Drosophila melanogaster: one gene and its partners. The protein of the gene in region 1 interacts with the protein of each later gene in a pairwise test. Each region holds a gene or a part of one and is shown in the gene's direction. Other genes may lie near its edges. The genes, in order: RpLP0, CG14818 and Trs33.

Region 1 (4,070 bases):
TTTCCCAATTCAGGCAGTTGGCCATTAGCGTTCTCAGCGGGAATAATGGCTTCAACGTCCATGGACTGGAAGCAGCAATCGTACAAGGCCCTTCTCTGATGGTCAATCAGGACGCGATGGGCCTCGTTGATTCTAAGGAACTCCTTCGCTCCATCCTCGTTTTTGTCGGGATGATATTGCAGGGACAGCCGCCGAAAAGCATCCTTAATCTCACTGTCGGTGGCATTTCTCGGTAAGCCCAGAACCTGGTAGTGATCTTCGTAGACATCGCTCATTTTGGCCAATTGGTCTATTTGATGGGAGAATAATTAGATGATTTTATCGATAGTAGCACGATGGTCAGTGGTTTTTGGTGCAGAAGTCGGTATTTATTGATGTTTATGTTGCGGGATGTAAGGCACTGGGAAAACCTGAGAAAACACTAAAGCTGATTCTTTCATTACAAATAGAGATGCACATCTGAAATGTGTGTTATCTTTGTATGGAAACAACATCGATAAATACATCGTGTCATTTGTCGTGTCATCGTGTCAGCGAAATAATATTCGCGACAAGAACATATTGTTTAAGGAAAATAAATGCGTCTTTCGTTTCTTCATTTGCCATCATATTTTATTGAGAATACGAGTCATTAGGTGGCCAACAGAAACAAAATCTAGAAAAATATGTCTTTTTTTTCAGAACAAACCATTATATTTCCGTCTTATCTGGTACATACCAAAGACACTAGAATATTCTAGTGTTATTCTATTCTATTCTATTATTATTATTCTAGTGTCTTTGTACATACTATATGTAGTAGCAGACTGGCTCTGCTTAGCAACAATTTGTAATAAGCAAGTGCATTTAATTTTCTCTACTATGGCATTGTTATATTTTTTACTATTTGTATCGCATAAACGTTTTTTAAATTAAAAAAAAACAAAACTATTAGTTCGTCTTACAGTATTTATCCGTTTTATCATTCGATTTGGCTAAAGGTATTAGCTATTTTCGAGCAACAGTCGGACGAATTCCATAATTTTTATTTATCTTACTAAATAAATAAATAAATTAATCAATAAGTAACGCAGGATTCATTAGATAAACAGTCAATAATTAAGTTCCTATAAATTAATCTTAAAGACTATTCAGCGAAGAACGCTAGGTACCCGAGATTGCTTCATCAAGCCCTTGGATCCTTAGCTCAGTCCGAGGAGGATCCATCGCCGTGGGTAGCCTCTTTTTTCCGGTTGAAGAACTGGAATGTCTTGTAGGCGGCGAACGCAAAGAGCACGGTTCCTCCGACGGCGCACATGAAGGGGAGCATGTCTGGCGTGGGCTGGGCGAAGGTCGCAGCAGGCTCGTCATCACATTTGAGACCCTCCTCGCCGTGCTGGTCGTATATCTCGCGCTTTTCCTTATCAAAGAGCACTTCGAAGGCGGCCACCACCTCCCTAAACTGCTCCTCGGCCTGCGGATGGTCGTTCTTGTCCGGATGGTAGCGGAGAGCCATCCGGCGGTATCCCTTCTTGACGTCTTCGCTGGACGCATTCCTCTCGATGCCCAGAATCTTGTAGTAATCCTTACCCATTGTGGTGAAATGGTATTCTCCTTGTTCTGGCTGAGATGGTCGTCTAGCGGTGTTGCGCCGTGTATGGAATGTGAGGCAGCGTCTCGACTTGTTGGTGCTTATGTGGTAATGCGAGTATATATTGCTGATTCGATTCGCTGATTTAAAACATTATTACAAATAAACAGTCAATCGATAAATTATCGGCCGCCAGTGGCCAGAGTGACCCTACCTTACCACCAGAAGCACTGTTAGTTAACAGAAGAGATTCTGACGATCGTAGCAGCTGTATAGGAGCACTATTAGCCTATTAGTAATTAATGATCTGTTAAATCTATCTTTTTTGAGTACTTTAAAAGGAATTACACATTTCGAAAATAGAAAATATTCATATCGCTTACCGGTTTTGGTATTTTTTCAGACCGTGCGGTATCTTATTCGCCATCGAAGCGGTCACACTGGGTGCCGCCGCCAACTTCACTCTTTCCGTTCTGTGAGCGAAAACCGAAAAGTCTGTGCTTTGGTAAGTGTTGCTAAAAGTTCGGAATAATGTTGCATCCCGAGCATTTTCGGGTACATAACTGTTCCACGGCGGTGGTCCAGCAAAGACTAATCGTTATCACGCCTTTCGCAGTTCTTAAATTCACCCGACGAGTCCCTAATACACAATTAAAATGGTTAGGGAGAACAAGGCAGCGTGGAAGGCTCAGTACTTCATCAAGGTTGTGGTAAGTATAGAACCTTATAGAATTCGCTCACTAGCTGGCGCCTGGCTTATGCTGTTAACTGATCCCTCCTCCAGGAACTGTTCGATGAGTTCCCAAAGTGCTTCATCGTGGGCGCCGACAACGTGGGCTCCAAGCAGATGCAGAACATCCGTACCAGCCTGCGTGGACTGGCCGTCGTGCTTATGGGCAAGAACACCATGATGCGCAAGGCCATCCGCGGTCATCTGGAGAACAACCCGCAGCTGGAGAAGCTGCTACCCCACATCAAGGGCAACGTGGGATTCGTGTTCACCAAGGGCGATCTCGCCGAGGTGCGCGACAAGCTGCTGGAGTCCAAGGTGCGCGCCCCCGCCCGTCCCGGCGCTATTGCCCCTCTGCACGTCATCATCCCGGCGCAGAACACCGGCTTGGGACCCGAGAAGACCAGTTTCTTCCAGGCCCTGTCCATCCCGACCAAAATTTCCAAGGGAACAATTGAAATCATCAACGATGTGCCCATCCTGAAGCCTGGCGACAAGGTCGGCGCCTCCGAGGCGACACTGCTCAACATGTTGAACATCTCGCCCTTCTCGTACGGTCTGATTGTCAACCAGGTCTACGACTCCGGCTCGATCTTTTCGCCGGAGATCCTGGACATCAAGCCCGAGGATCTGCGCGCCAAGTTCCAACAGGGAGTGGCCAACTTGGCCGCCGTTTGTTTGTCCGTGGGCTACCCCACCATCGCCTCGGCCCCGCACAGCATTGCCAACGGATTCAAGAATCTGCTGGCCATTGCTGCCACCACCGAGGTGGAGTTCAAGGAGGCGACCACCATCAAGGAGTACATCAAGGACCCCAGCAAGTTCGCCGCAGCTGCTTCGGCTTCGGCTGCCCCCGCGGCCGGCGGAGCTACCGAGAAGAAGGAGGAGGCCAAGAAGCCCGAGTCCGAATCAGAGGAGGAGGACGATGATATGGGTTTCGGTCTGTTCGACTAAGCTGGATCCCGATTGCAGAATGCCCTCTGCGGCGCCCGCGAACCATCGCTTCCGCTTTCGGCGTTTACCCACTAAGACCCTTTGTTATGTTTTCTATGTGCAAATTATTGCCGCGGTTTGACGGACCCAATGGCGAGTTGCATTAAACATGCTGTAAACTGCTCGAAAGCGCACTCAACTGTCTTTTAAACTTGCACTCGAATCGGGATAGGTGGACATGGTGGGATTAGGACTCCAAAATCCAAAGGCTTCCCACTTTTCTTCATTTCCCTTTAAATATCCGAGCGACGGCAGGTACCGCCTGCAGCTGCTCCCGGTCATCCGGATATTTACAAAGTAATTACTTGCGATAAAATGAATTTCACAAGATGAGAAAAGTTTAAAGTTTCTGCTGCCGTTGTCGGCTGCGACTTTTGCGATTTCTTTTGCTTTTCGCAAAGGACATCGTCGACGGAGGAGAGACGCTCATAAAAATTCAATTTGTCTTGACAAAATACGCAAGAAATTAAGAATGTGCCAAGTGGCGGCAAAAGAAACTTTCCTTCCCTTTTTCCCAGTTTCCTGCACATTTCTTGCTCTGCTCGTCTGGCGAGCGAAAATGAGTTACGCGACTGGGGCGTGAAAGTGCCACGCCCTCGCGGCGATGTGTCGCGCCTGGAGTGCTCAAGGGGGGGGGGGTGGCGGAAGGGTGGTCAGGAGATGGGAGCTGGGGAAGCAGTAGCCGCGGGCCAAGTTAAACACTGCATAAATAGCCGGACCGAAATGAAAAGCCCTGACGAAAATAAATCCTCCGCAGGCCTCTTTGGACCTCAGAGA
Region 2 (3,085 bases), on another chromosome or scaffold:
ACTTTATGCGTGTGTGCCTTCCCCTCTGTTTACCATTATTATTATTATCATAATTGTAGCGGTTATCTTTCAATATTCGGCCACTTTACATGGGGAGCGATCCTTCTTTCGCTGCGTGTATCGTGCGCAACCTTCTTTGAATATATACACTGATAAGGATATGAACACCTACTTCTATTTTATTTTATTTAAATAGTTTGCGATTACTTTTAAGTACATTAACTAACTCCGAACAACGTGTATTTTTCATCCCCTTAAATAGTAGCTAAGTAAATTTTATGCCACCATTTTACGCACGTGATCTTTTATTCCAACTTATTGCAAACGGCAAACTGGAAATTACGAAATGGGGACGACAGATATTGCACCTAAGATCTTCGCTTGGCCAGCGCCAGAAGCCTCTGGAGCTGGACTGCGGCAGCCAGGGTGAGTATGTCGAAGTTCTTCAGGTACCAGGAGATGTTGTACATGATGTGGATGCGCCAGTTCTTGTCGAGGAACGCTTTGTAGAAGTGGCTCATCTGGTCCGCGGACACTTCGCTGGTTCCGCTTTCCTTGTGCAGGCGGATGAAGTCTTCCTTTTCCTGTAAACGAACCAATTCGAAAGAGACGACATTAGCGGACTAGAAAGAGATGGCACAGTGGTCGTGGTTGTACCTCGTAGAAGCGCTTATTGTGTTTTGTCCAGAAGTCCGTGTTCCATGCCTCCACCTCGATCCGCTTAAGACGCAGGCTTCTTGCCAGCCGCGTCTCCTCATCGCCGTAGTGCCGTACGTACGGACGTAGGTTTGATTGCGCGTCTGGCGGTCCTATATAGTCGCACTTCACCGTCTTGGGATCGGGCTTGTGTGGCAAACCGACGACGGGTTTTTCTTGTGGCGGTGGACATCCCGGCTGCACTGCGGCATAGCACCGCGGTAGCTGTGTAAACAAGAAATTGAAAATCCGAATCCTATAAGGCAACACACTCATGGACTCACGCTGAACTGGAAAAGCGATATCCGGGGCTGGCACCTAAAACATTTGTTCATTTTTCGGTTATGTTATGTGAGGTGCAGTGTGGCCGACTGTCACGCTAGGCAACAGATTAAATATTGATGCCAGCAAATATTACGGGCATTCGCATGCGATTCTCGACTGAATATCTGGAGTTCAGAAACCAGTAGCCAGTAGCCAGCCAGCTGATACATGTCGACAAAATCAAGAAACAGTTTCTTTTTCCAAAATGGTCGCATATTGCATGTTTCCAGTCGCAATTGAACCAATAGGAATGCAGCCTTGTGAACAGTTAGACCAAAGCTTAAGCAAGAGTATCAGAAGAGATGTGAACCCCTCTTGTTTCCCTGTTCGTGACACGCAATCGGCACGTCATGCTCGAGCAAATACCAAAATCCCTAGTAATTTGCTTGCGTTGTGAAAATAAAACGATATACATGCACATCTCTAAAAACAACGTAGAAACAGAGGCTAGTACACTTTCTGTTTATTATGCTCGCCTCATGATTGCAACAAGAAATCTACTGTCGCAATTCGATGCTTCAAAATTATTTCGGTCAAAATGGGCAAGATTATCGACTGTAGACACCAGGCGAACAGAAAACGTTGGAGTACGACCGCTGATCGCTCTGAGAAATTAAACAGCCGTTCATTGTCAGAAGGGGTCAACTCTGGCCAATCAACATTAAGCACTATGGGAAAGAACCGTTCGATTAAGTCCAGTCAACGCCTAGAGATACGTAAACCATTTGTTTCATTGTTCGTGTCACGAATTAGGCACGACATATGCGAATAAGCCAAAATTTCCCATGCTATTCCATTGGTACGTAAAAATAAAACGAGGCACGGGCACATCCCTAAAAACTAAGTGGAAACTTAGCTTTGGACTTTTGCAGTGGATTATGTTCGCCTAGTGTTTTGAGCTAAAAAGTGTTTTCGTAATTACAAAAACGTACGTATGTACTGAATTCCCCTATTAAGTTTTTTTTTTTATATCGTATTTGAACTGAGACCTATCGTTCTCTTCTAACCACCTCTATCGTTTATAGCTATCCCGTGACAATAAATCCAACTGGAAAAAACAAACGGAAAAACTCCGGGGAAAATTCCAGGGAAAATGTCACCCAAAAACAATCATGATCCCTCGTCGTCCGGCGACTCTGGCAACACCAATGTCCAGGAGGCGGACCTCCAAGGTGAGTTTTGACAGCGCCCCGTTTCTGCTCGGGATTGGCTCTAATGGAATGACCCCTACAGAGATGGAGGACGTGAACAACAGTCTGGACGCTCTCAGCTGTGCCCTGGACGCCGTGGAGCAGCGCACAGACGACATTATGTCCCAACTACGGGAGCTGCTGAACTCCAACCGAGAGATCCGTCGCCTGATTGCCGAGGAAAATGACAACGCTCCCGAATCGGGAGATGACAACATGGACGGGCAGGCGGGCAGCGAAGCGGCACCCAAGTAGATCCCTCTACGAGAAGTTATTGTTTTGTTCATCCAAATCGTTTTTAGGCACAATCAGTGCTGTTTTTTTTCTATTATCATGTATTTTTGTCCTAAGTCCTAAGTAAACGTAATTGAAAGCAAGCTTAAGGTTCACTATGTCTTCCGCGCTTTCTTGCGCTTTGTCTTCTCTGTGATTTCAGCCTGGCCATTGGTATCGCTAGTAATATACTTGAAAGCTATCTGGAACAAGCGCATTGACTGCGCTTTGAGGCGCGCATTCTCGGCCTGCAGCTCTTGCACTCTTTCGTCGCTTGTCTGTGCTGAGTCTGGCTGATATTCTGCATACGATTTTTCGGACTCAGCTTCCTTGGAGGCGGTTTCCATTGGCTCGGATTCAGGTTCTTCTTCTTCGACCTCGGAATCCTCGACATCTGTAGCTTTGGTTTCCGCCTCAATTCCTTCGTCGTCCTCGTTCTTTCCCGAACTCATGGACGCTATAAGTTTGAGTATTATCTCCTCATCCGTACCCGGATGACTTTGGGTGTAGTCCAGCTCCGGTGTCTTGCGTCCCCCGGAGTAGTCCGGATCGAAGAGCTCGATACAGTCATTCTCATCCCACGGACTAATCATTCGCTTTAG
Region 3 (3,052 bases), on another chromosome or scaffold:
GCTGACTCATAGTTCGGATACAATTCAATGGCCCTGTGGTAGTGCTGAAAGGCTTTCGTATTGTTTCCCATATCAGTGGCCAGTCGGGCTATGTTATAGTGTACCTTGGCATTGTCAGGACACACCTGTAGCGCGGACTTGAACAACTGCTCCTCGTTAAGCCAGTCAGTAGCTCGCTGCCGAGTCCGTACCATCATAACCGAAAAGAGCAGCATTAAAAGAATCCGTAGAGCAGTGCGCCAGTGGGTGTTTTCCGTACTGCTGTCATACCAATATAAGAATCCATAGATGGACAGCAGGCAAAAGCCAATGGAGGGTACATAGAGCGTCCGTTCGGCAATCACGAATCCTACGCAAATGATTCCCGACGCGGGCAGGAACGGGACGATCATTAAACCCAGAGCTAACATCATTCCGGGCAGCCGTCGGAAGTTCATCAGAGCCACCAATACGATGGAGTAGAATCCGATGACGCCCTGCAGTCTCAGATCCCAGATGTTGGTCACCAACTTGACGCAACCCAATGCCCAGTCGTAGCATAGCCAGTGGGGGCACAGCATCAGCCAGATGTTCATGACCAGCAGATACTGCTGGGAGAGCCCACGGGTCAGCACGTGCTCATTGTGCGCAACGGGGTTGTCAACTTCCTTGAAGGTAGGCGTCTCAAAGTCCTGCCACCAAAGGCGAGCCGTCAGCAGACCCAAGGTACCCAGCAAGTAGAACAAGTAGCTGATCCGGGTGCGCAAAAGACTCCACTGATCCTTGAATCGCAGATGATAGTAGCCGTTTTGAAAGTAATCCAATAGTACACACGACATGGGGATGGTCACAGCGGACTCCTTGAACAGCATTCCCACAGCGGTGAGCAGCATGATTAGACCGCCAGTCTGTGGACCAAGTCTTCCGGTATTGGCCACGGTCAGCAGAAGACACAACAAGTGAATCATGCCGAACATGAGCTCGGCCCTTCCAACCACACCAGAAACCGCCTCTGTGTGAATTGGATGGGCGGCAAATAGAGCAGCGGAGAGGATGGCCCATCTTGCCGTGCTGACCTCCGGAACATAGAGAGAGCGAATCAATCGCCACATGAGCAGCGTGTTGACGCAGTGTAGCAGGAGGTTTAGGAACTTCATGTGGGCGGCACTTAGCCCCAGAAGGGCATACTCGCAATGGAACATCAGGGTGGTCAGTGGCCGAAATGATTTGTGGGAATCGGAACTGAGCAAGGAAGCACCCCAGAAGTCGTGCGTGAAGATCGCCGTCCAGTTGGTGGGCAGTGAGTTGACATCCCGGTTCTTGACGATGGCCACCGTATCATCGAAGACAAACTTCGCTCCACTGAGGCCACCGCATCCGTAGCATAGCAAACAGATTAACACTAGGATTGCCTGACAGACCATGCTATGCAGCGTGGCTTTGTGAACGAGGTCTAGCATACTGGATTATTTACTAATTGTCAATTGTTCAAGTTTAATTCACTTATTCTGCGAATTTTAATCGGAATTGTTTTGTATACATTTTTTGTTGTGTTTTTGTCCAAACACCCCCTCACTGAATAGTGATGCCAGATCAGCGATAGAAATGTGTGCAGCTTAGCTAAATATATGCATCGAAAAATATATGGTTATAAAATGATTTGAAATTACGCTAAATAGATCTATCAAATCTGCTCATTTTAGAGTATTCATATTAAAATAATTATACATACTCTTGATATTAAAGTATAAATAATAGTAATAACAATAAACCACTAAAAGCAAACAAGACATTCGCCCGTTAACGCTTGCAACAGCTGTTTAAATCTAGATCAAAACAAATCCGAGGAAAAATTTGTTGAACTCACAAAGAAAAATTAAATCCTCGAAAATGTCTGAAGAAATCCTTTTCGATTGCCTCCATGCAGAGATAGTCAATTATTGTCTGGATAGCAATAAGGTAGGAACACGAGGGACGCAAAAAAAAATCAGTCATACAACCGATTTTGATTTGGTTCCGCCTATTAGGAGCACGACCTGGCCACTTTGGAGTATATAGGCTTCACCACCGGCTACCGCCTGATTGAGCGGCTCACCCGTGAAGTTTCGCGTTTTAAGGACGAGTTGGAGACTATGAAGTTTATATGCACCGACTTCTGGATGCTTATATACAAGAAGCAAGTGGACAACCTGAGGACGAACAACCACGGAATGTACGTTGTGCAGGACAAGGCTTTCCGCTTTCTGACTCGCATCTCGCCGGGCACCAAGCAGCTGGAGCACGCGCCCAAGTTCGTGGCCTTCACGTGCGGGCTGGTGCGAGGAGCTCTCAGCAATCTAGGCATTAACAGCACCGTGACGGCCGAAGTGCAAAGCATACCCGCCTGCAAGTTTCACATAGAAGTGAACAGGAACTAATTAGGATGTAAGGCAATGGTTTATTACTACAATTATAGAGATACTACAGACTAGACTAGGCTATCTTTTCGTAGAATGCCACAATGTTGTGGTCAGTCCAGTTAAGGCGTTCTCGCAGGATCCACTGGTCGATGGGCAGTTGGGGCTGGGCGGGATTGGGATCTGTGTGGATTCCCAGGGCGGGCAATGGTCCAATCAATATAAGCCACTTTCCTTGATACACATTTAGATAGTCCAGAAAAGCTCCTCGATTGTTGAAGTAGCAGAAGAGCAAGGCACACGGATGAACGTCACTGCAGCATTTGGTCAATAAATCCGTATCCAGTTGGCTGGCATCCTCTAAATAGTTAAGCGGTATAAAACTTCGAACGGAGTACTTGCTCTGCCACCAGTTGCGATCGACCTCCAAGCCAAACATGGGGACTTTCCGACCTCCAGACACTGTCATAAGCCATTCCAAAAGCCCACTGCCGCAGCCGATGCTCAAAACTCGCTGGATGTCGTGCATGGCTAGCAGCTGATTAAAGTAGTCCAAGTCCACCGATGTCGGCCACATCCAGAGCAGCTTGCGCTTGAGCTGTTGGTCCAGGCAGTCGCCCAGGACAAGCAACTTGCGCCAGTTGCACGACGCATCATCAGTTAGGTAATAAATTTCA

The links.
Region 2: the proteins of RpLP0 (region 1) and CG14818 interact in a two-hybrid assay, tested with the Drosophila melanogaster proteins (one large-scale study listed by BioGRID).
Region 3: the proteins of RpLP0 (region 1) and Trs33 interact in a two-hybrid assay, tested with the Drosophila melanogaster proteins (one large-scale study listed by BioGRID).

Annotation. Positions count from the first base shown.
Region 1 is NT_037436.4:22,074,062-22,078,131, forward strand, and holds RpLP0 (ribosomal protein LP0), read left to right. Parts: upstream 1-1,805; 5' UTR 1,806-1,865; intron 1,866-1,973; 5' UTR 1,974-2,075; intron 2,076-2,186; 5' UTR 2,187-2,226; coding exon 2,227-2,280; intron 2,281-2,354; coding exon 2,355-3,254; 3' UTR 3,255-3,426; downstream 3,427-4,070. Other genes in the region: CG7133 (uncharacterized protein), read right to left, coding at 1-275; CG7130 (uncharacterized protein), read right to left, coding at 1,187-1,573. UniProt on the Drosophila melanogaster protein: Ribosomal protein P0 is the functional equivalent of E.coli protein L10.
Region 2 is NC_004354.4:1,878,519-1,881,603, reverse strand, and holds CG14818 (uncharacterized protein), read left to right. Parts: upstream 1-1,829; 5' UTR 1,830-1,948; intron 1,949-2,023; exon of another isoform or gene 2,024-2,045; 5' UTR 2,046-2,113; coding exon 2,114-2,192; intron 2,193-2,253; coding exon 2,254-2,465; 3' UTR 2,466-2,585; downstream 2,586-3,085. Other genes in the region: Coa8 (cytochrome c oxidase assembly factor 8), read right to left, coding at 369-584, 658-921, 981-1,031; CG14805 (uncharacterized protein), read right to left, coding at 2,600-3,085.
Region 3 is NT_033777.3:15,349,738-15,352,789, reverse strand, and holds Trs33 (TRAPP subunit 33), read left to right. Parts: upstream 1-1,794; 5' UTR 1,795-1,869; coding exon 1,870-1,938; intron 1,939-2,006; coding exon 2,007-2,396; 3' UTR 2,397-2,445; downstream 2,446-3,052. Other genes in the region: Tmtc4 (transmembrane O-mannosyltransferase targeting cadherins 4), read right to left, coding at 1-1,439; CG42727 (uncharacterized protein), read right to left, coding at 2,452-3,052.